Arabidopsis thaliana: one gene and its partners. The protein of the gene in region 1 purifies or fractionates together with the protein of each later gene. This does not show direct contact. Each region holds a gene or a part of one and is shown in the gene's direction. Other genes may lie near its edges.

Region 1 (6,788 bases):
TTTTGCATCGGAGATGGGTTTGGTCATGAGGTTTGATCTTTACCTTATGTTTGTGATGTTGATGGGTTTAGGGTTTACGATATCAAATGGATACAAGTTCTATGTTGGTGGGAAAGATGGTTGGGTCCCGACTCCTTCCGAAGATTATTCTCATTGGTCTCACCGAAACCGGTTTCAAGTCAACGACACTCTTCGTAAGTCTATTTCCTCTTCTCTACTATATATACACAATGTGTCAATATTAATGCATAGTAATTTTGATTTTTACAAGATTTTAAGTACGCCAAGGGAAAAGATTCAGTGTTGGAGGTGACTGAACAAGAGTACAACACATGCAACACGACACACCCCCTGACTTCCCTCTCAGACGGAGACTCTCTCTTCCTACTTAGCCACTCAGGTTCCTACTTTTTCATTAGTGGCAACTCTCAAAACTGTCTTAAAGGTCAGAAGCTAGCCGTCAAGGTCTTGTCCACCGTCCACCACAGCCACTCTCCTCGTCATACCTCTCCCTCCCCGTCTCCGGTCCATCAGGAGTTGTCTTCGCCGGGGCCTTCTCCAGGAGTGGAACCATCATCTGATTCAAACTCTCGTGTTCCAGCTCCAGGACCGGCTACAGCTCCCAATTCGGCCGGTTTGGTTGGTCCGGGGATGGTGGTTCTTGTGATTATGATAAGTTCTCTGTTTTGAGGGGTTTATATATTGTCGCTAGTCATTAAATTTGTGAGGGTATTAATTACTCTACCATTGAGTTTCATATTTATGTGCCTTTTTATTTGTATGTTTGAAGCATCTTGTAACCCATTTTTAATGTTTCCGCTGTCTCGTTTTTGTTCTTACTAAAGAAAATATTTAAGATGTTTTTTTGTATTGATTAGATGCGAATGTTTTTATTTTGTGTTTTAATTATGATCACACTAATATGAATATATACGACGAATATGTAGAGTTCACATAGCTCATGCAATAAAACTTCTCCACACAAACTAAAATCTTGTTGAAACATATAAATAGATCTTATACACTTTTTGTACATATAAGAATGGTTTGAACAATTTAACTTTAATCAATATATTAAACCGGTACACCGAAATCCAATAGAGAGAATATGTCAAGGAGTTAACAAAAAAAATATACTACCGCCGTCTGTGGGGATCGAACCCACGGCCTCGTGGGTAAAAGCCACGCGCTCTACCACTGAGCTAAGACGGCTATATGACAAAAAATTTAAATTATGTTAATTATTGTATGTTTTTGCAGATCAAATTACCAATGAAATAGTTGGTATTTAGGTTGTTAACTCAATCATAAAGCCGATTGACTCTTTTTTGTTGAAGAGCTTGCCTCTTGTTGTGGATGTGGCTGTTGTAAGACTAATACCAGCCCTTGGGTCGAAAGTTGAAAGTTTGATTCTGGATCTCTAATGTCTCTAGTATGGACGCTCCTGTTTGGAAGTCTTTTGTTTGGAATATGATATAGATTCATAAAAATGCGGGTATCTACTACCATTTGCTATTGACCATCAAAAAAACAACAAAGTCTCTTAACTATCTTAAAATTTTATTAGGAGATTTTCATGCGACTAGAACAAGATTTTCAAGCAGTGGATGATAAGACAAAACTGATAGGCCAACAACTTGATGAAATGGGCAATATTATGAAATAATACACAAGTATAGCTTCCACCTCCAACCACCTAAGGACCTCTAATAAATTTACCCACCAAAGGTGGTGGGACTCCGTCACAGAGCCGTGCCTCAAGGCAAAAGAAAGAAACATTCGCCTACGTCCTCAAATTTTTGAAAAAAACTTAGGAGCATATATTTTTACAAGATAACTTTAGTTTCATAGGTTTAATATTGACAAATCACTTACATTTACCTAAATAATAAAAATATAGAATTAAAAATAGAAAAATATTCACAGAATAAATAAATAAAACAGAACAAAGCATTATAAATTTAGGTTAAAGCATTCGATATAGAATTGGTTAAAAAAATTAACTTTGAATCTTTTGTCATATGACAATTTATTTTTGTAAACACTTTTACTTCTATTATTATAAGCATCTTTGCTTGTGAATTGGGGCAAATTTCATTTGGCCGCCTCCGGCAACCATTGACCTTGGCACGGCTCTGCTCCGTCACCTCTTATATTTGCTGCAATGGCACAGAGAAGAGAAATTAGTTGCTGGTGTTGATCCCTAATATGTGCTAGTTCATCATCTACATGTCCAAATCTAAATCTCATCCCTTCTCCTATCGCACGGACCTGCAAGTGTAGAAAGCAAAAACATCAACATATTTTAATAATAATTACAAAACACATTAGGTTCTTAAACTTATCAAAACTAATTACTTCAAAAAATATCTTTCTAAAAGTTAATATACCGGAATTTAATGCATTTAAACTAGAATTTTTTTTCTATAAATTAAATGTATAATAAAATCCATAAAATAAATTTTAATAAGCTCTTACTAATTAAACATAAGATAAAACAATATTATTAATTTCTCAACAATCAAATGTGGATAGAAACCAAAAAGATAAAATAAACTCGGATGTCATAGGCCCATAATCCAGCCTTTTCTCAAAGCTTAAACGTAACGGGCTCGGCCCAAATTTGGTGTGTTCATCATCTTCCCCACAAAACCTAATTTTGTTTCTTCAGTAGTACTGTAGCTTCAGATGCAACTCCTCGAAAACCCGTAGAACCGGCATTGAGCCAATCGTTTACATTCTCTGATTCATATCCTTAGCGTTTTCAGAAACAAAATGGTGGGTTGGAAGAGGAATTTGCAGACTGTTATTCGTCAAGTTGGTAGAAGAGTGAAGAACAGTCACATTTCTACAGCAAATTACTCTTCTTCTACTCGGAATTTAGAATCCCCTTTCTCACAAGGTTGACTTTTTGATCATTTCCGAAATCTAGTGTGTTTCTTAGTGGGTCTTTCAAAGGGCATGTGTTATCTGGTCTTCGTGTTTGTGAATTGTGTGTTTGAGTTGAGTTTTTTTGCTGGTGATTATAGGTTACTTGCAGAGTCTCCTGAGACCATCCTACTCCTCCAGACCACTGTATCATCATCTACAACAACTGGTAATGCATTTGAATCGACATTTCTTTTGTGTTTTACTGAGATTGGAGTTTCTTGTTTCCTGATATAGCAAATTTGTTGCTGCATTGAAAAATCGAATTTCAAAATTTGGGAAGTGAGAATGTTGCTAGTGGGAGACTATATCTGTTATCCATGTGAATTAGGCGAAGAGACTCATCTTTTGGAACTATGCGTCTCTAGTCAACTTAGGGACCTGTACTTTAGGGTATGAAATTTCAATTTGGGTATGTTTTCAGGGGATCTCTACCTCGAGACAATTGCAGGCGAGTGAAGAGCCTGTATCATCACCTTTGTCATCTCCAGCTCTGTTGGGTAGTGGAAAAGAAGAAGAGCAGAAGATTATCCCAAAGCGTCAGAAAGTTCAGGCTGTCCTCAAGTCTATAAAGCAGGTGTCTTCTTTAACTCCTAGAACAGTTTTACTTTTCAGATGATCTGCTCCATTTCGTTTAATATTTTTCCATCTCAATCTAGTTATATAATGTGCCCAACCTTGCTTGTTTTCAGAGTCCTAAGAAGGTCAACCTGGTTGCAGCACTAGTCCGTGGCATGCGTGTTGAAGATGCTTTGATCCAATTGCAGGTCACAGTCAAACGAGCTGCACAAACTGTGTACCGGGTAATCTCTGAGATCCGAGTTTACAAACAAATCACTGTTGGATTTCGAGTGTCTAGTCTAATCTCCTCTCCAGGCATTTGATAACTTTCCTCATCTAATGATACTTAGCATACAACTTGTTTTGTTAATACAATGCTTAAAGGAGTTAAATACATTATACTGCAGGTTATCCACGCTGCCCGGGCAAATGCTACTCATAACCATGGACTAGATCCTGACCGTCTCCTTGTTGGTATGTAAAACTGATTCTGGATCCCTGATTTCCTTGTTTTACATTTAAAAAGAGAACGTGATATTTTAGAGAGTTCGCCGATTGGTACTTTAAGGAAGCAAACATGATATGCCAGAACGATGTATTTCATCTAAGCTTGTGATATGTGATTGCAGCGGAAGCATTTGTTGGGAAGGGACTGTTTGGGAAGAAGGTAGCTTACCATGCAAAAGGAAGAAGCGGGATTATATCAATACCCCGGTGTCGCCTAACAGTCATAGTTAGAGAGACGACTCCAGAGGAAGAAGCTGAGATTGCAAGGCTCAAAGTTCACAATTTTAAGAAGAAAAGCAAACGGGAGAGACAGCTTGTACCACACAAGCTCATCGAGACAAGTCCAATATGGAACCGCAGAGGTACCAAAGCCAATCATCGGTCCTCAGAGTTGGTACGGTCGTCTCACTAGTATCTTTGTTCCCGCAATTGCAACAAGAGCTTCTCTGTTATGGTAAATTGCTTTTTTTTTTGGTTTTGGTTTGATATTGTATTGGAACTCTATAGGACCTGTTTGCTTCTTGTATTCAATAAACATGTTCCCAGAGAGGAAACTTCACTTAACAAAAGCGTCTCTGTTTTTCTCCATTCTGTTTCTGGAGGTGTTAACAATCATTTTGGATGTAACTTGTGTTGGAAACATGGAAAAAAATCGTCTGGATAATTTGACGAATCAAAACAACATTTATCATCATAATCCCGAAGGTCCATAATTTTTATCAGTTTGTTCCACTTCTTAATGCAATTTTTGGATATTAAAAGAATAAATGAATGAATATACATATGCATTTTGTTTGTTGAGAATATTTATTTAGTCATTTATTTAAGAAATTTATATTTTAATTTTTTATTATTAATATGATATTTGTTTTGTCACTATGTTACAACATAATTCAATTTTAATATCATTATAATTGATAGTAATAATAATAAATAACAGTCACAGGCCCCTACCATCATCCCAAAATGATTCATGCAATTTAGTCATCAAATACATACAATCTTATATACAAAAGAATCACACAGCATGTATAAACTAATAGTATAGAAATTCGATTAAAAAATACTCCCAGGCTAGTTTTTTCACCTTCCATGAAGAATAGAATCATAAGTTTGGAAGGAATTAGAATAAGAAGACGAATTCCATACATCTTGGAACGTGGGATGTTGTTGTCTGCTTCCCTCACCAGTTTCCAACAAGTAAGAGCTCTTCACTCTCTCCAACAAGCTTATTTCCCTTTCACCACCATCCTCCACTAATCTCCCTTGTTCCAATATCTGCACCACTTGTCTCATCTTCGGACGCACTCTCGGATCAGGATGCACACACAACAGTCCTATTCTCAGAGCCATCTCCACTTCCTCGACCACGAACACTCCATTCGCCTTTATTCTCTCGTCTAAACCATCAACCACTTTGTCTTTCTCCATTAGTCCCCATATCCATTCCACTATCCCTTCTCTTCCTTCCTCTATTGGCCTCCTTCCACACACTACCTCCAACACAAACACTCCAAAGCTATACACATCGGTTTGCGCTGATGCTCTCCCTGTCTTAACCAACTCAGGCGCCATATAACCCGCTGTTCCAACAACATGTGTCGTGCTAACCATCTCTTTACTAGTGTTCTGCAACTTAGCCAACCCAAAATCACCTACCCTCGCGTTCATATCCTTGTCAAGCAACACATTGCTTGACTTTATATCTCTATGTAACACCTTTGTCTCCCACCCTTCGTGTAGATACAACATCCCTGAGGCTAGGTCTCTTATCACTCTCATTCTTTCCTCCCAATTCAACATCTCGTTACAATCAAATATCCGCTTATCGACACTTCCATTCTCCATATACTCGTAAATCAATATCAGACTCTCTCCTCCTTTCTTAGACCAACCTTTTAGTCCAACTATATTCTTGTGTCTCAACCTCCCTAAGCTCGAGACCTCAGCTAAGAACTCACTCGTCGCGCCAACGCTCTCTCGAGGACTCATCATTATTCTCTTAACCGCAACTTCTTTACCTTCCAACACTCCCCTGTACACTTTAGAATTCCCTCCGTATCCGATCATGTTCTCATCGGAAAACCCTTTTGTTGCTTCCAAAACATCTTTGTATTGCACTCTGTGAGGCCAATACTCTGTTTCCCAATCTTCCACGTCTCCTTCTAGTCTCTGCCTTCGACGCCTTACAACGTAGAAACAGAGGAGCCCAATAACAGAGACTAACAACACAACACCACTAGAGACCCCAGCAATGAAGCCTTTAGACTTCAAAACAGAGTCACCTGACAATTTAAACGAAGGTAGATTCCTAGTGATCAAAGCATCACCAATGGAGAAATTGGAGTTACTAAAACTCCATGAGAGAATCCTATGGCTCTGCACTAGTTGTCCTGTGGAGGCAGTGAATCCAACGAACATATCATCAAGTAAGACTCCAGTGAGATTTAATGGAATGCTTATGAGTGGTCTTATGGGCTTTCTAGAGCTAGCTCTAGCCATCGTGACATTGATCGCTGACCCATTAAACTCGATCCACGCCTGATAATTCTCGCCACTGTTAAGCTTCAGCTCCGTGAATCTCTGGCCGTCTCTGCCTCCATAGAAACCTGCAGTTTCAGATGCAACGGAAGTGAGAGAATTGACGTCGACGCCGACGTGGTTGTCGTTGATGTCGTTGAACTCTTGGTTAGCGAAAACATCGAATTCAACGGCGAAGATTCGGCTATTGGGGTCACCGTTATTGGTGAAGTTGAAGAGGCCGAGATGCTGAGATGAGCTTGCGGCGGAGG
Region 2 (5,963 bases), on another chromosome or scaffold:
AACTCTAAAATATTAAATTGGACATTTTTGCTTTTAAATTTTTTGTTGATGAATTTGTTTATGAACCGAATAGGACAATCATCAAAATGTACAAAAGGATGTACGAGCACACCAGAATGCAATATAAAATGCATGAAGAAAGGCGGAGGGCATTGTCAAGCATATATAGGCAGAAGTCACGGCCGATTGGCTATTGAAAATTATTGTTGCTGCAATAATTATTCAAATTCTCCCATCTCCAGTCCGGTCATGAATTGATTGATCTCTTATTCTATATGTACTCTCGATTATAAGAATCAAAAACGTATGTTCAAATAATAATAACTGATATTATCTCATCCCCCCCCCTCTCATCATGTTGTTTGATGTACATGTATAAGAAAACTACATCGATCGGCTCGACTTATAGTTTTGTTTATTGTGTCATCAGGACATCGATTTTGTCTTACCTCTCTAATCTTCGCAACCAAAAAAACTACTTCTTTCAATGTTCACTTCCAAAGATGATTTTGTAAATACGAAAACTTATGCATGAAACTGTAAATACAAAATCAATCGCCAAGCATAATATAAGATCATGTATTTACTCTTTTTATATCAAGGTACATATATATTTCTGAGATTCCTACGTTTTCATGGAATATAGAAATAAATTGACTATATATATATACAATAAGATAATATTTTGGGGTGTTTTCTTTATATGTAGAGAGGATGTGCGAGTGGGGGGGAGGGAAGAAGGAAGAGTTCCTTCGACGGCGGAGGAGTTCACAAGACAAGGTGTTGCTAGCCAGACAATGATGATAAGAGATTGTAGAAGGTTTATGACGGAGCTGCAGCGGCTGCAAACGTCTCTGGTGATTCTGAGATGGAGGTGGAGAAAGTAAACCGAACTTGTTTAAAGGAAACGAATATCTAGTTTGTTTTGCACAAGTACAAACGTCCCATGTCTTTGAATCAAAATTACTGCTAGAAAGAAAAAAAAAAAAATCGACAACATCTCCAAAGTTTTATTTCAAGGACCCGAAACGACAATGCCTAACTTCCATGGATTGGTGGACAAGGCTAACGAAAGAAGAAAATATTGATTAGTGGAGAAATTGGTTGTCGTTCCCAAAAAAAGTTAGTAACTCTTACGATATGAGAAGAAAATTAGTACCTCTTACATTTTTTTTAACAAAGATAAATGTTGTGATTAGTTCTGTTTGAAAGGACTAAACCCTTACATGAAAAGTTTAACATGTTCTACATAGTTTGGATTTGTCACTTAAAATAATATTGGTGCTTAAACTCTTACTTTTGTGATAATATTTTTCTCGAGATTGTAGTAAAAGATGAAGAAAGGATATCTTGTGTAATCTGGATACAACACAATCTGGATATCTTATTGTCAATCTCTATGTATTGTGAGAAGTTGATACTAACAAGATGATTTGTGCAAGTAGATACAAATCTTGCATGTGTAAGTTGATACTCGACGATACCTTGAAACTGATTGACTGTTTGTTGATCGGATCATAACCAAAAATTTGGATAGGCAACAACACTGAACTATAGACTTTACCGGCTATCTCGACAAAATGATCATCATGACGAGATCAACATGGATCATAATCAAAGTATACGTCGTCGTACCGTTCAACTGCCACCGTATCCTGGAGCTTAGCTTCGAGGGTCGAAATAAAGTGCTCTATTTCTGTCTTCTTGAGCTTTTAACTCTTCCAATTACCGAACAATTTCCGACGAATCTCCGACGTCCGACTCCATCACGACAATGTTTAAAGAGCCAATAGTAGAACCCTAGAGGTTAAAGCAGCAAAGAAGACGATGTCAGTCAACGGGACAAAACGTACGTTGACTATTTTTATTGTCATTAACCGGATTTAACCGCGAACCAGATTGGTAGACCGGTTGGGTTTTTAAGAGAATTCATGAACTTACGAATTTATTTATTTACCTATTAAAATAAACTAAATTTGAATGAAATATAATCCCAATGACAGATAAGAATAAATAATGAAACATTTTGACTAAAATTATTATCTGACCCAAATAAGACTATAAAAAAGAAGAAAAAATCCTTGAATAATATGGAAGATTTATTATTTACATATATATATATATATGTATATACGTATGTCTATATAAATGTACATCCAAGACCACCACAAATCATTCTCAATAAGTACTGAAATATTACAAATACAAAAGGTAAGTCAAAAATAATATAAAATATTTAGAATATGTTACTAGATTTTTGTTTTTGTTATAACAATAACTTTGAAATTCGCTTTTAATAGGTTTTGAGAAGCAGGTATAGAATCATCTTGAAAGAATAACAAATAACAACCAAAATGGTTGCATCTCATCGATTACTTACGTTGATGGTGTTTGCTCTCCTCACCATACCTATGATTTCTGGTAACACATTTATTTGTTATACAAATTATATATTTTTTTTAAAAAAATTGTTCTTAAAAAACTACAGTTTTCAATATTAAACTGACCATTTTTGCTTATAAATTTTTTGTTGATGAATTTTTTATTTATAAAATCGTATAGGACTAATTTCAGATAAATGTACGGAAGGATGTAAAAGCACAATAGGATGCAATACAAGATGCATGATGAGAGGCGGAGGGTATTGTGAAAGCGCTAAAATTCACGGGGCTGTTAAAATATTTTGTTGCTGCAACAATTATTCTAATTCTCCCATCTCCAGTCCGGTCATCAATTGATTGATCTCTTATTCTATATGTACTCTCGATCATAAGATATTATTAAAAACATATATTTATATAATGATAATTGATATAATCTCATCCTGATCCAACCCCCAATCTCTCTCATCAAAATGTTTATAAGAATTCAATACATGTACACAATAAAATCCACAAGAAAAACGACAGCGGTTCGACTTATAGTTAATGTCATTAGGACATCGATTTTGTCAAATCGATCATGTAAAGTTATGTATGAAACTGTAGAATATGAAATAGAAATCTTCGTATATTGGATTTAACTACAAAGGAAATTGCATGACGTCGTGACTAACCCTGGGAAACATGTCATCTTTTGGCTACGACGGCGCATCACACACACGTGGCATCATAATCATAACCTCCGTTGATGAGACATCAAAAGTCTCAATTAACTGCTATAGGAAAATTCATCTATGGTACTTGATCTAATCTAAGCTGCAAAAATAAGAGACCTCCGAAGAAAAAATGTTGAGAAATTATGTGAACCCAAAATCAATCTCCAAGCCTAATATAACAACATCATGTATTTACTCTTTTTATCTCAAGGTATATATTCTGATATTCCTACGTTTTCATGAAATAGATTAACTATATATATATACAAAGATTTTTGGAGATGTTTTCTTAATATGTAGAGAGGAAGTGCGAGTGGAGGGAGGGAAGAAGGAAGAGCTTCTTCGACGGCGGAGGAGTTCACAAGACAAGGTGTTGCTAGCCAAACAGTTGAGAAGGCTTTTGACGGAGCTGCGGTGGCGGTAAACGTCTCCGGTGATTCTGAGGCGGATGTGGAGAAGGTGAAAGAGGCGTTTTTAGATAAGAAAGACTATAATTATAAGAAGAGACCTGAGGATGATGATGATGGTTTGCCTATCAACACGGCTAAAGGAATATAACGTATGTGCATTTGTTAGATATCACTTGTAAAGTAGTAGTATGTAATAATATGCATCATGTATCATGTATGTAATATTATAGGCTTCATGTACTTTGTATAATAAATCGAGTAATGGATAGAAGAACGGTTGCCCTTTTTCTCTCTTTTTCTTGTCTACCAATATTTGTAAGTTTACCGATTTCTTTTAGTTATGTAATTTAGCTACTACTTTTGTATAAATATAATTTACTTTGATAATTTTCTCTTTTTAATAATGCATCATTACTCATTAGTAATAATATTGATCAACCCCAAGATTTAAAGCTATTGAACTTATAGAAGGTAGAAAAACCTTAAATAATACACCTACCTAGCAAATAGCTTTTACCAATTTAGAGGTTAGAACTAGTGATGAGAGCAGTGGAATTTGACTGTTCATCATACACTTTCTGAAATAAATTGTTTTTGCAAGATTAATAAATCTAAAGATTGATGTAAAAAAAATGAAACCAATCTAGTAATTTTTGAACAAATTATAAAAAGGTAAAGGAGCCAATAATTGGGCCCAGATAAAGCCCAAATAATTAAGCTAATCTACAAAACGCTGTCGTTTAACCATTGTTCCGCTAAAAGCTTAAAACCCTTAAACGCGAATCTCAAAGATTTTCCGAGCTCTGTTCGCCGTCTTGACTACACTCGTCGACGATCTCTTTCACCGGACTTCTCCCGTCTCTGTTTCCTCAAGGTACTCGAAAACCATCCATTTCTATCTCAAACACCTAATTGAAATCTCGCGTTATGCAGCTCCTCTTTTCTTCTGAATTGATCGATCTGATTTGGTTTCAATTCGTGATGATTCACTCTCTCATGATTCATGTTATCAATCGTCTTCGTTTATTGTATCTATTGATTTCTACGGTGAATTCTGTGTGATTGCTTGATTATGATTTTGTTAATGGTTACAGAGAGATTGAGTGATAAAGGAGACAAAAAAAAAAAAGAATGAGTGGTTTTAGAGCTTTCAAAGCACAAGTGCCTATTGAATGGAGCCAGAGCTTGTACATAACCTTAGTAAGAGGTCTCCCTGGAACAAGGAAGCTTCACAGACGAACACTTGAAGCTATGGGACTTCGTAGATGTCATCGTACTGTTTTGCATTCAAACAATTCATCCATTAGGGGAATGATTGATCAGGTTCTCTTCCTTTATCTTTTTATCTATTCTCATTTGTCATAAAATCCTAGATTTCAAAATTGTGATGGTTGGTTTTGCCTCTATGTAGGTTAAAAGGATGGTTGTTGTTGAAACAGAAGAAATGTACAATGCTCGTAAAGAAGCAGAAGCCAACCACAAAGCTTTGCGCCCGCCTCTCGTTGTCAGTCATTCGAGTCCTGCAACAGATTCATCCAACATGTCTTGAGAGTACTTTCATAAGATGGTAAGCTCTTCTACCGTCAGTTCGATAAGATCCGCTTGGATATTGTAGGCGGCTTATGTTTAAGTTCTCTCTAAAGGTGTCCAGGAAGTAAACTAGTCCTAGACGCTTGATAAGAAATGTTGGTATCAGTGTGTTTGGTGCCTCTTTATGTTTTTTGTATACACTGGATACTTGTGTATGTTTTGCTCTCATTCTGTCAATCTCAAATCTATCGGTTTTTTTTTTTTTTTGTGGCCAATGTTTCAAGATTGAGAATGTGAAAGTTGATTCTCAAAAAAGTTACCTTTCAATTTGATTAATGAAAGTAGTGAGAGAAAGATAGATGCTGAAATAATCATAACTTAATATATATGTTACAGATGAAGAACCAAAATGTATGATGACAATTGTAATGTATCAAAGAATTGAAATTTGAAATACAAAACCTATACTATGCAAACTACAAATTCTACAATGCATCAGTCATTCATCACTGAGGAACGTCTGTTGGTGTGACCCAAAACATCTGACAATTCCAAGATCTTGGCTGGTAAATTTTCATGATTTGCTTACTCTCCCATTCAAAAACGCTCAGATTCTGAGGCCCTGATCCTCCTACACTTGGATCATCACCATCAATGAAATAAACTGAGTTGTCTTTGAAAAATCCTCTCTCACCTGCTAAAACAGCTATACATCTACCTTGAGGGCTCAAGAACAAAGCTTTTCCTCTCAAGCTCATCACCTTTGTCCATTCGTTAGTCTCGCGATTGAATTCGTAAATCTCGAAAGAGGTTTCGAAATCACAATCGTCGTTAAGCTCCAGCTTCTTTAGGACCACCCACAGTTCGTCGTAATCCGACTCTGCCAAGTATTTCTTGCAAGAGTCGTACCGAAACGGCGAGGTGCT
Region 3 (6,514 bases), on another chromosome or scaffold:
TTTTGAGTCTTGAGTCTTAGTTTTGTAAACTAACGTTAGTGCTTTTGTTTCTCTTTTTTTCAGAATGGATTTAGAGTCTCTACAAACAATTGCATTTCTCAATGCACAAAATGACTTAATAGACATGAATGAGGAAGATGCAGAAGTGCAAGCACCGGAGCAAAGTGAAACACAAATTCAGCCGACTCAAACTCAACAAACTCCACGTAAGAGACGCAAAACTTCAAATGTTTGGGATGATTTCATTTCAGTAGGGTTAGAGAGTGATGAAAAAGAAAGAGCTAAGTGCATACATTGTGGTACAAAGTTGGTGATATGTACTAGTAGTAGACCACATGGAAATTATGGAACAAATCACTTAAGTCGCCATTTAGAGAAGTGTCCTAAGATGCCTAAGAAGATAGATAGGCCGGTATATGATCAGAAGATAGATCGTGAGATGGTTAGTGAAGTCATTATCTATCATGATTTACCGTTTCGATACGTAGAATATGAGAAAGTCCGAGCGAGAGACAAATATTTAAATCCGGATTATCAGCCTATTTGTAGGCAAACTGCTGCTGCTGATGTTTTTGTGAGATATGAAGTAGAAAAAGAAAAGTTAAAAGAGCTTTTTGCAAAGCATCGTGGTAGAGTTTCTTTTACTTCGGACTTGTGGTCAGCTAAGGCTAGTATGACGAGTTATATTTGTGTAACTGGGCATTTTATCGATGAAGGTTGGCATTTACACAGTTATATTCTAGATTTTTGTGAGTTGAAGTCTCCGCACACTGGTGAACATATTGCTAATAGGATTCTTGATTGTTTAAAGGAATGGGGACTAGAAAAAAAGGTACTTTCTATGACTCTAGACAATGCTACCAATAATAATAGTATGGTGAAAATCCTCAAGGGTCAGCTTCAGATGATTAGTGGCAGTGGTTTGTTATGTGATGGGAAATTTCTGCACATTAGATGTTGTGCTCATATTCTTAACATCATTGTCAAGAAAGGTTTAGAGTTAGCTAAGGATGTTTTACACAACATTCGAGAAAGTGTTTTATATGTTAAAGCATCTCCACAGAGGAAAGAGGCATTTGCAGCCTGTGTAGAGAGAGTGGGAATAAGGAGTGGGGCAGGGTTATCTCTTGATGTTCCAACCAGATAGAACTCTACATATGAAATGCTCGCTAGAGCATTGAAGTTTAGAAAAGCATTTGATAGCATGAAGGCTTTTGACACCAATTATAAGTCTTTACCATCAGATGATGAGTGGGATCGTGGTGAAAAGATTTGTGACTTGTTGAAGCCATTTAGTGTAATCACTACTTATATTTCAGGTTCCAAGTATCCGACATCGAATGTATACTTCACCCAAGTATGGAGGATTGAATTACTATTGAAGAAGTACGTCACTTGTGATGATGAGGATATAAAGCAAATGGCTATGGAAATGATATTGTCACTTTAAATGGGGTGGGTTTAATTGGGGTGGGTTAGCCCATATTAACATGACTACTCACTTATGTGGTTTGGGCATAAGTGATCTTATTTCTTTATAACAACATCACTGACTTGGTTTAATTCATGTGTAAAACCAGGAAGTCATCGACACATCTGGAGGGTAAAGTCTTATGATCACTATACCATTTATTCAATCATCGACCTTTGACATCTCATCTCCAGTTTTCAATTTAAACTTTACCCTTTTTTCCCAGCTGTGGCGCGAGTTTTGTGGTTGAGATTATCTCGGAACAGTTTGAGGGGAAGAGATTGCTCGAGAGGCACCGTATTGTGAACGCTGCTCTTGAAGAAGAGATGAAAGAAATCCATGCTCTCTCGATAACGAAAGCTCAAACTCCGCAACAATGGAAGCCAATATCACAAGACTCTGCAACAACTCCAACCACAGAGGCTTGAAGACAAAAGAACAACAAACATAGCTGAAAAGCTGTATTTTACTTTTACTTTGTTCCATGGTAGCTAATAAGCTTGAACTTTTATAAGCATCTACGGCGAAATAACTTATGAATTTGAATACATTACTGGCTGTTTATCATCTGCATAATCGAAATTCAACATCTTAACAGTCACAAACATTCTCTTTGAAAAAAACAGGAGCAAAGATCTTTACTCTTCCTTCTTCACCTTCTTCTTGGACTTTGCTGATCGTTCTGAAGAGCCTGAAACCGTACTTGTTGAGCTCCGATGTTTACCTGAGGAAGACTCTGAATTTTTTCTTTTTGGCGACTTTGGAGTCTCGGTGAAGCCAGAGAACATGCTCTTCTCTCTGCTGCTACGTGTGCCGCTTTTATGCCGGCTGCTTTGAGTAAGGTTAGATGATTTCTTAGAGGAATTCGTCACTGATCCGACAAGCTTCTGTTGTGTTCTAGCCTTCATTTTCTGAAGCAACTCGTTTGGTTCAGGGTAACGAACTAATGCAACTCGCCGAGTAATCTTCCCAACTATCATAAAACGAACAACAACAGAAGAATCATTATTAACGAAACAGGTGGTAAAACAAAACTGTGTAAACTGAACGACCAAAACCTAAACAAGACACAACTGTAAAGTAATGGGAATATACCAATCATTGATTCTTCAGAAGGTATAATCAACTCTGCACCAGCATCTTGAGAATGAAAGCTAGCAAGATCATACTTTGCACCTAAACAAAGGTGTAATGAGCCAGCTTTTGGAGATCAAAACTAAAATATTAAAGAGTATGAAAGAACACAAAACATAAACATACCATTTGAATCCTTGAATTCTCCAAATAACCCATCTTTGTCTGGCTCAATCTTAAGAGTGTTCTCTTCGATTTCTGGAAACTGCGATAAAGAAAAGTCATTTAGCTGTAGAACATTACATGAGGATCAAATTTGCAATAAAGAATCATTCTCTAAACATACTTGGCCTAAAGGGGCTTGGATAAGCCAAAACTCATCAGAACGCGTCAAATCAGTGTCATCTAGCTGCTCTGCGCCACTGACTATGAAATCTCCGGAAACTTTGAAATCGAAATCCATCTCTGCTCAAATCAGCTCTCGCGATTTCACAAAACCTGCAAAATCGAGAAAACAAGTGTTAAATATAGCGAGAGCTTTAACATATATAATAAACAAAGCTTTTGAACAAACTCAAACTCTGTCAAAATCGCAATTATAAATCTCTTCAAAAGACATAAATTAGTTAGAAAAATCAAGAAACTGGATGCAAATCGGAACGAGAAAGCTAAAGAGAAAGAAAGATGGCTTCGTCGGCGGCGGAAAAGAGAGAGAATCGTTACCGGAGAAATAGCAATTCGGCGATGACCTAAAACCCTTCCCAATTTATTTCTCTGTTTTATTTTATTTTGAAGTTCACTCAAAACGACATAGTTTAGTGAATTGGCGGGTGGAAAAGACATTTGGGCCATAATGGGCCTTTAAGTGACAGTACTGAAGAAGAAAGCAATGGTGATGGATGATTCAGTAGCTCTTCACTGAAATCTCATAAACCCTAAATCCCCAAAATGGAATAATCAAAATTTCATCAGGAGATCTCTAAAATCGAAATCTACTTGATCCCGCAACGAAGAAATGTTAAGAAGAAGACTCTTGTCGATCATATCAACATCACTCATCAATTCTTCGTTTCATCAAACCGCGAAACCCAGATTCATCATTTCTTCACCACTTCTTCAATGCCGTCCTTCTCCGATCTCTACTCAAATTCCGACCTCTACGAGCAGGGCTTTGTCGTTTCAAGGAATCAGGGCTTATAGTTTATTGAGCTTGAACGATCTGAGAGACAATGTGCCGAGAAAACTCAAGACGAGGAAAGGAAGAGGTATTGGGTCTGGTAAAGGTAAAACTGCTGGAAGAGGTCACAAGGGGCAAAAAGCGAGAGGAACGATGAAGTTTGGTTTCGAAGGTGGTCAGACTCCACTACGACGTCGTTTACCCAAACGTGGCTTCAAGAACAAATTTAAGCTCCATTTTCAGGTTCAAGCTTGTGCCTTTTAGTTCTGGGATTTTCATTTCTGAGGTCAAGTTTCGGATTTTGTAGCTTCCCTTGATTCGAAGGGTTAACATTTGTGATTGATTCCTTAGATTAGGTCGAATTTGAGAATCTAAATCAGATGGATCACTCTTGTTCTTCTTTCTGTATGCCATTATTGCTGTTCTTTAGCTGCTTGTGGTGAAGTAGGTTATACTGTGTGTGTAAGGATTTAGGATTTGACACTCTATTGATGCAGCGACTAAAGATGTTTATGATTGTTTTGTGATGCAGCCGGTTGGTCTAGGGAAGATTGCTAAACTCATAAACGCTGGGAAGATAGATTCTCATGAATTGATTACAATGAAAACGCTCAAGGTTCGGTCATACTTCACTCTTTGATTCAACGGTTTAAATTGAGTTTAGGATTCTTAATATGTCTGATTCTTACTGAACACATTAACGTCGGTTTGCAGGATGTGGGAGCCATAGGAAAGCAAATAGAAGATGGAGTAAGACTAATGGGTCGTGGTGCTGATGATATCAAATGGCCACTTCATTTCGAGGTTTATCATTTGCGTTATTAACTTTTGCTCTGTAGTCTCTAGAGCCGTTGCACCAGTCAATGTATTTGCTTAGTTAGATGTTCAGTTGATCGGTATGAGCGTGTTTATTACAGGTTTCGAGAGTGACGGTTAGGGCCAAAGAGGTGGTGGAAGCAGCAGGAGGATCAGTGAGAAGAGTGTATTACAACAAGTTGGGCTTAAGGGCATTGCTTAAACCGGAATGGTTTGAGAAGAAAGGAAGGTTATTGCCAAAAGCAGCGCGACCACCTCCTAAACAACAAGATAAGGTTGATAGCATTGGACGTCTTCCAGCTCCGAAAAAACCCATTCCCTTCTTTGCAGCTGAGGAGACCAAAGTTGAATCTCCTGTTGAATCATAATTTTGGGCTGCCATTTAACGTTTGATGTTTCTGTTTAAGTTGTTTGTGTTGTTTCTTGGTCAATGTTCACCACTAGAAAATTGAGAATGTCGGATTTTAATTTGACAAATAAGGTCTTTCTCGTTTTACTTTATCTGTAGTTGGCCACAACAAGTTATTCAACCATTTTCAGACTTGTTGTTTGGGATCAAGGCCTGTTCTTGTAGAAGGTTGAGAAAACCAGAGAACAATCACGTTAGATTTGAATTCATTATTATCCGGTTTGGTTGAGGCGTTGTTAATGTTAATGAGTTCAATGGTAACTTTGCTTTTTTTGACTAAAGATGCTAAAATCTGCAACTGCAAATATATAGGTTATGAGATTATGTCCCTTTTTTGCAGTGTTATTTTACCAAAACGATGTGCGAAATTTACCTAATTTATCGAAAAGGGGCTATGATTGTCTGAATTTGAACAACCGAACGTGATTAAAGAAGAAGAAGATAGATTTCGAGGTTTCAGAACTCATTACTCTTAACAAACATGTAATGATGAGTACTGTACTGTTAATTATAGCATTGATTATATTAAATAACTACGAAAAAAAAAGAGTACTCGATTGGTATTTTATTATCAAATAAATATGTAATTAGATCGGTTTATTTGTCTTTAAAAATGATCATTACGTATTTGTTTAAAATCAAGTGCAGTTCAATATCATACACTATATTTTAAAAATGTTTCTGTTTATCTTCTTCTATTGATCACACCTTTCTGATCTTATGTACCTATTGATGATCACCTTCCGGCATAAATGTCACGTTTAATGTCAAAATAAATTAAATGGCTATAGAATTAGATGCAACCTTGGTCCATCACATTGACAAATCACAATAGACATTTCAAAGACATTATTGGTTATCATTAAAACAAATCGATAGATCCCAAGAAAAAAGTCGATTATAAATCTCAAGACCATTCTACATCAGACTTTTTAGTTACACCATATATTTCAAACCTCTTTAAAGTTTAAAGATTTGATCTATTCTTTTACAAACACACATACAAATTAGTCCTTGTGATATAATATTCAAAGTCAATTTTCGAACTAATCATAAACTTTTTCAGATAGTTAAATTATTATTATAATAACAAGAACACGTGTATATCATGAGGATGATCGGCTCACACACTTTGATACGTGCAATATTACAAATTCGAGCTATCCAAAAAATAATACAACTTCCAATTACAATTTCATAATAATAAATCATATGTTTAGCCTTGTCGACATTAATCAAACAAAAATAACCATTTTCTTGGCATTACCAAAAAAAAATAAAATAAAAAACATTTACACCAACTTAAAACTCAAAAGCAAAGGGTAAAAGAGAGGAACCGGAATGAAAGAAACATATAACTAATTAAAAGAAAGAAAGAAAATAAAATTCAAGACCTTTCAAGCTTTTTCTCACGGAGAAGATCGATGCCAACTAAGTAAACCAATATCATTGTGTTTTCTGGAGGGACCAGAAGCTGGAACAGGGAAGTGACGTGGCAAGAACCCCAAGAACTGTTTAGTTGAAGAAGAAACGGCGTCGTTGTGCTTCTTGTGTGGTTTCGAGTTGA
Region 4 (5,814 bases), on another chromosome or scaffold:
GATCGAAGAGAATGATTCAAGTCAAGGCTACAATGCTCTCAAGTATTTATTAACCGTTGTGGCTGTTTGCTTGAGAACAGCTTACAGCTTTAACAGAGGAAACATCTGGAAAATCTCTGCCTGGGTTTTCTCGGCATTGGCAACTTTTTACGGCACATATTGGGACATTGTTTTTGATTGGGGATTACTTCACAGACCATCTAAACATTTGTTGAGAGAGAAGCTTCTTGTTCCTCACAAAGCCGTCTACTACGTTGCAATCGTGAGAACTATGAAAATCAAAAGAACAGTACAATTCCTGATTGATGGTTTCCTTATAAGTTTTGTTTCTGCCTCTTCTTCTTTGTAGGTCTTAAACATTGTGTTGAGGATGGCGTGGTTGCAGACTGTGCTTGATTTCAATTTATCGTTCTTACATCGAGAAACGATGATTGCTCTTCTTGCTGCTCTTGAGATCATACGTCGTGGTATCTGGAATTTCTTCAGGTAAATTTTTGACCACGACACGATCACTAAATTCTCTTTAAACCATTTTTTACTCAAGGGTTCTTCCTTTGACGACTTGCGAACACAGGTTGGAGAATGAACACTTGAACAATGTGGGAAAGTTCAGAGCATTCAAATCAGTTCCGTTACCATTCAACTACAACGAGGAGGAAGATCGAGATAGTTAACTCTTAGATTAGATCTAATCAAGGTTTCTCCAAAGAGTGGGGTTTCAATTTTGTTTAGAACTTGCTTGTCTCTGTTTGTAATCATTAAAGAGAAGGAAATGAGCACAATGAGGCTTCGGATATAACTATCTTACCTAGGGTTATCATTGTGCTCGCTATCACAATGTGCCCAAATCAGATCTCAAACCAAAATTAGTCCATAAAACTACCAAACACGAGCTACTTTGACTATGATAAACCAAAAATTACCCTTGAAATGACACTCGAGTAAACTAAGAGGTTATTGAGACAGCGAGCGTACATGACGAGAGCTTCAAAAGCTTGTATAGATGGTTTCACGTGAATATATTTATCCATTTCGAATATATTTAGCTGTTGAATCCAAATCTAAGAGCACAAATAAAAGTGAATGAGATAATCCTACACTTTGCAACAAGCAATGACAATAACATAATTTGTCAAGAGAAGCATGAGAATATTGATCTTGCAGCATACAATAATTTGCCAAAACAGCATCAACTAAGTCTTTTATCATTCTAGTGTACTACTAAGAAAGCCAAGATTTTATCCTCTTGATATCCAACAAGGAGTAATCATATTGGAAACCATGACCAGTTGTTCGAATTGCCTTACTCAGTAGGGTTTAGCCGCTCACCGCTGCAACAGAAGAAATGTGGCAGCTTGACTCGCCCGCAACTCCTGGAAACACAAAAGAGTGTGCACTTAAACTGGCGGCATATATAAAATTCTGATACAAGTGCCCTCACAATGAGATCATGAAAACAAAAGAAGTTTTAAATCAAACATATACCAAAACCGAACAACTAGACTCATATTTTGTACCATGTTGCACACAAGTAGGTCTTTCGTCAAACATGTTAACGATACACAGTTCTAGTTACTCAAGTGCAGTTTATACCAAGTGATAGTTAGGAGAGACAATGAATCACAAAGCATATGCATTTATTCTTCAGCTGTTGCTGCAGCAACAACAACCTAGATAAACCTAACAGAATTTTTCTATCACAGCCTCAAAACTAAACACCCATACCAAACTCAACCTAATGGATATATTAAGAAGCATCAAACAGATAAAACAAGAAGAGAAGCTAATCTGCGGACAAAAAAAAAAAGAAAAAGAAGAGAAGCTAATCTCTTACCTGCAACGGATGATCACAGGAACAGGCTTAAGAGCCTTTGGACCATTTCTTATCCCTCTCTTGTGTTTAGAAATCTGCATGTTTCATCAAGAACAGCTTCAATTAACACTATCATTCTCCAAGGAGCCATTAAAAATTACACATTTTCATTCACATGTGAACCTAAAGGAAGTAAGGAACCAAATCAACTTAAACCCAAAGATACACAAGCAAATGGAAAAACAATGGACACTCAAAAACACACAAAGAGACAACATTTCTTAGATAGATTCTATAGAAGAAGCAATCTAGCACTTAGTATCTCAATTGCATAATCAACTAATAAGTCCTATAGTGCACCTTCCTAAAACCCTAGATAAACCCTGACTCCGTCAAAAAAGCTAACCCTAGATACCACAATAAATCAAAACCCTAAGAAATTTTATCATTTCAGAAGTGGAAAACGAAAGGAGAAAACTAATTAAGGGACTGAGAGTTCTTTGACCTTCTTCTTAGGCACAGCCATTAGCTCCATGGATCCATTAAAAGCAAAACTAGGAAGCCCGAACCCGAAGCTCTTTTCTTCGATCAAACCCGGTTGATTCTGATCGAACTCAGGTAAAACCAGCGGCGGCATAGAAATCGGGCGATCAAAAGCTCCGTTCAAGGGGGAAGGCATCGCAGCGACATGACTTAAGCTTCGGGTTTCCAAAATGCGACAGGACTCAACCGCGGCGCGTTTTAGCGATGTCAATCTCAACGCCATTGATGCAGTTTCTCCAAAGCTATAGCTGACGGAAGTGAAGACTAGTAGAAGAAACCCAAAAGAGGTGAAAATTTATCAAGGCAAATGTATTTACGAAACGGCTGCGTTTTGACATACGAACCATACAATTGCTCTGTTAACCGATTTTAGACCGTAATTTAGAGTGTGATGTACCCGGTTTAATTCATGAACCATGAGGTTTTATCAAATCGAGCCATTTCTGAAACCCTTGTGTCTTCGTCGTCTCTGGTAAAACAATAACAGATCAAGCGAAGAAGAAAAGTGAAGAAGCTCAGCAACAATGTCGTGGATGAAAGGTGATTTACTTTCCAAAACCAGGAGGCTTGTTGGTGGCTTAGCTACACGAGAGCCTGTTTGGCTTAAAGCCATGGAAGCGTAACCCTCTCTTCTCCCATTTCTATTTCTCCAAATGATTTGGCTCGATTGATCAATTTGATACTTCCTTATTGAATCATCCGTTAATGGGTTTCTAATTCGGATGCAATTGAATTCTAATCGCACAAAAAGTTGAGATTTTGGCATCTGTGAATTAGGATTTTGAGGGTTTTGTTGAAATGAGTGTTCTGTGATTTGGTTTTAATGGCAGATCACCACCTCCTGTGTTTCCTCGCTCCAATGGAAAAATCCAGAAGATTGTTCTCCCTGAGGATCCTTACGTTCGTAAATTCGCTAATAAGCATCCTGGAACCAAAATTGATGACCCTGCCAAGTAAAATTCTCAACTTTTTATATCTCTGCATTTGTATCAAAGATAGTTTGATGATTATGTTATGAGTTAGTTCTTCATAAAGCTTATTCTGATATGCATCACTATAGAAAGAAGTTTAATTTCAAACAATTTTGTCTTGAACCCATTACTATAAGCACGTGTCACTCTTAAATTCTGATTCAATGGGAGAGTTTCACCATTTTTCATTCTGTATCTATCTCCCTCTCATTGCATCATCTTCAATTACCTAGGATATCAGCATTTATTCCAGATCAAGCACGTGTGTATGGTTGCCGGGTACTTGAATTGAAGGAGCATGGCATCAGTGAGGGTGACGCCATGTCTGTAGCTAATGTACGTATTTTCTTTTCACAGTCTATGATTAGCTACGATACTTGAATAGATATGAATCGTAGTACCGCTGCTGTTGATGCCGTTTCTTTGAACATGGGAGATGTTATTCTTCGAACTTGCTGAGTTTGTGTTTTGATGATTTTTCAGATGGAATATCTTTCAGAGAGAAAGGAAATGAAGAAAGCATACAAACGCTTAAAGGAGCTTGCGGTAATGCAAGATAAGGATCCACCTCCTAAACCGTATCCTAGTGCCAAGAAAGGGTTAATAACTCAATCGAAGACATCCGCTAAGGATCGCTTCCAGACTCCTAGCGTCCGCAGGCTAGTTAACCAGTTGAAAAATGAGAAAGATGTGTTGCTGCAAGACAGAACCGGAGGAAGTGCTAATCAGGATAATTGGATCGACGAATAAATTACTCAAAATCATCGTTTTCTTTTTATGCACACTACTCATCCAATTTCTTTGTAGAACTGGCTTTTTTCATATATGACATTCTTTGACTACAAATGTTTTGCAACAAAACAAGTGTTATTTCCATTTGAATGTCTTTGTAATAATATCATTGGATGTTTCCTTCCATGAGGCAAGGAATTACAGAAAACCAAAATGGTTACTCTCTCTATTGATCCTACAAGCAATTAGTTTCAACATTTGTAACTTGTTACTCTATGCCAAGAAGAGTCTTCATTGCCTTCTTTTTCGATACCACTTTGCCATAAACCCCCTTCCCTAGCTTCATGATTTTCTCCATCTCCACAATGTTACTGAAACCTCCATGCTTCTTCATCATCCCTTCCACAGCCATCTTCATCAATCTCTCATCACTTCCAACAACATCAGAGACACTATCCACCACAACTTCCATTGTTGGTATCTTCCTTCCCCACCTTTTCATAAGTCTCTCTGAGTTATAAATCTCATCATAAACTCCCCAATAAGATGCTCTCAGCAACCCTTTATCTTTCCCTTTTACCTTCCATCTCTTCATCCCTTCCTCCACCATATAAACCGCGTTCCCTGCATCTACGCCTCTCTCTAAACCCATTTCAAACTCTCTAACCTCCTGGTTGGTAGCATACAAGACACTCTCAAACTTGCATCTACTGCATCCGCAACAAAACCCCCATGACTCAGCCATCTCTTTCCGTTTTTCCAATGGAGAAAGCACATCAAAGTAAGCAAAGCTAATCTCTTCCCCTGTTTTGATATCTCTCGAGGCATGAACAATCACGTAGTCTCCAACGTGAAGACGTCTTGCGTTAGGGATACACGAGTGGTTGATGAATGAAGCTAAAGTCCATAGCCCTACACCGTAATACTCTTTGTTCTTCCCCATAACTTTACCTGAAACCGCATCTTCCACCAGAGAATTCACATCCAAGATACTCAACAACTTCTCTGTATCCAAACTCTGTTTCCAGTCACCACAAGTTTCAAATGCTTCATCAGGTCTAAACAGAGCTATCTCAGGAATCTCCAGACTATCTTCACCTTGTCCAGTGGACAAAGCGGAGACAACTCGACGAGTCCTACCGCATTTTCTCACGGATTCAGTAACCTCTTCAACGAAGTTCTTCCACATGATCAACTGCGCTTTTTCCCCACACTCTCCATTTCCTAAGATCCCTCTCTCAATCGCAACCGCCTTTGTAACTAAAACCAAAGTACCAGCAACAATGTTCTTCGTAGCAAACAATCCACGCCCACTAAGCTCAGATTTCTTAATCTCAATCGACCCAATAAACTCAGCAAGCTCAGGACATTTCCCACGAAACTCACTTAAGATCCAATCAGACAAATCAAAAGCTCCAGTCTTTGCCTGAAACTCAAGCTTCTTACATTTCTCTATATACACAGTAACAGTCTCCAAGTTATCACTCGCTTGTGGATCGAGCAAAGCCGTTTTAAAACATTCCAAAGCCAAAGAGTATTTGCTCAATCCAAGCAAAACTTTACCTTTACAAAGAAGAGTCTTGAAATGAGTCTTCTCGATTTCAAGTGCTTGATCACAATCCCTCATTGCTTCCAAAAAATCTCGTAGCCTAGCTCTTGCCTCAGCTCGATTACATAGAGCCAAACAGAGAGATTTCCGGAGCTTAGCAATCGAATCCGGATCCGGGTCGGATCCACCAGTACTTGAGACTTGCC

Evidence for each region.
Region 2: the proteins of AT4G28360 (region 1) and AT5G55140 fractionate together in Arabidopsis thaliana (co-fractionation; one large-scale study listed by BioGRID). This does not show direct contact.
Region 3: the proteins of AT4G28360 (region 1) and AT5G64670 fractionate together in Arabidopsis thaliana (co-fractionation; one large-scale study listed by BioGRID). This does not show direct contact.
Region 4: the proteins of AT4G28360 (region 1) and AT1G26750 fractionate together in Arabidopsis thaliana (co-fractionation; one large-scale study listed by BioGRID). This does not show direct contact.

Annotation. Positions count from the first base shown.
Region 1 is NC_003075.7:14,026,914-14,033,701, reverse strand, and holds AT4G28360 (Ribosomal protein L22p/L17e family protein), read left to right. Parts: upstream 1-2,652; 5' UTR 2,653-2,775; coding exon 2,776-2,902; intron 2,903-3,029; coding exon 3,030-3,097; intron 3,098-3,352; coding exon 3,353-3,505; intron 3,506-3,620; coding exon 3,621-3,731; intron 3,732-3,896; coding exon 3,897-3,963; intron 3,964-4,118; coding exon 4,119-4,408; 3' UTR 4,409-4,719; downstream 4,720-6,788. Other genes in the region: ENODL3 (early nodulin-like protein 3), read left to right, coding at 14-194, 272-690; AT4G28350 (Concanavalin A-like lectin protein kinase family protein), read right to left, coding at 5,080-6,788.
Region 2 is NC_003076.8:22,376,732-22,382,694, forward strand, and holds AT5G55140 (ribosomal protein L30 family protein), read left to right. Parts: upstream 1-4,264; 5' UTR 4,265-4,381; intron 4,382-4,601; 5' UTR 4,602-4,638; coding exon 4,639-4,830; intron 4,831-4,918; coding exon 4,919-5,056; 3' UTR 5,057-5,463; downstream 5,464-5,963. Other genes in the region: AT5G55131 (Protein of unknown function (PD694200)), read left to right, coding at 74-258; AT5G55132 (Defensin-like (DEFL) family protein), read left to right, coding at 2,355-2,421, 2,563-2,738; AT5G55135 (uncharacterized protein), read left to right, coding at 3,228-3,308, 3,398-3,655; AT5G55150 (F-box SKIP23-like protein (DUF295)), read right to left, coding at 5,544-5,963.
Region 3 is NC_003076.8:25,850,927-25,857,440, reverse strand, and holds AT5G64670 (Ribosomal protein L18e/L15 superfamily protein), read left to right. Parts: upstream 1-3,373; 5' UTR 3,374-3,560; coding exon 3,561-3,965; intron 3,966-4,254; coding exon 4,255-4,338; intron 4,339-4,436; coding exon 4,437-4,526; intron 4,527-4,639; coding exon 4,640-4,906; 3' UTR 4,907-5,200; downstream 5,201-6,514. Other genes in the region: AT5G64680 (mediator-associated protein), read right to left, coding at 2,110-2,444, 2,567-2,671, 2,732-2,810, 2,892-3,008; IDL2 (inflorescence deficient in abscission (IDA)-like 2), read right to left, coding at 6,357-6,514.
Region 4 is NC_003070.9:9,243,977-9,249,790, forward strand, and holds AT1G26750 (uncharacterized protein), read left to right. Parts: upstream 1-2,880; coding exon 2,881-2,975; intron 2,976-3,186; coding exon 3,187-3,309; exon of another isoform or gene 3,310-3,560; coding exon 3,561-3,663; intron 3,664-3,810; coding exon 3,811-4,077; 3' UTR 4,078-4,298; downstream 4,299-5,814. Other genes in the region: AT1G26730 (EXS (ERD1/XPR1/SYG1) family protein), read left to right, coding at 1-262, 350-486, 575-674; AT1G26740 (Ribosomal L32p protein family), read right to left, coding at 1,304-1,373, 1,835-1,908, 2,319-2,579; SDG35 (SET domain protein 35), read right to left, coding at 4,328-5,814.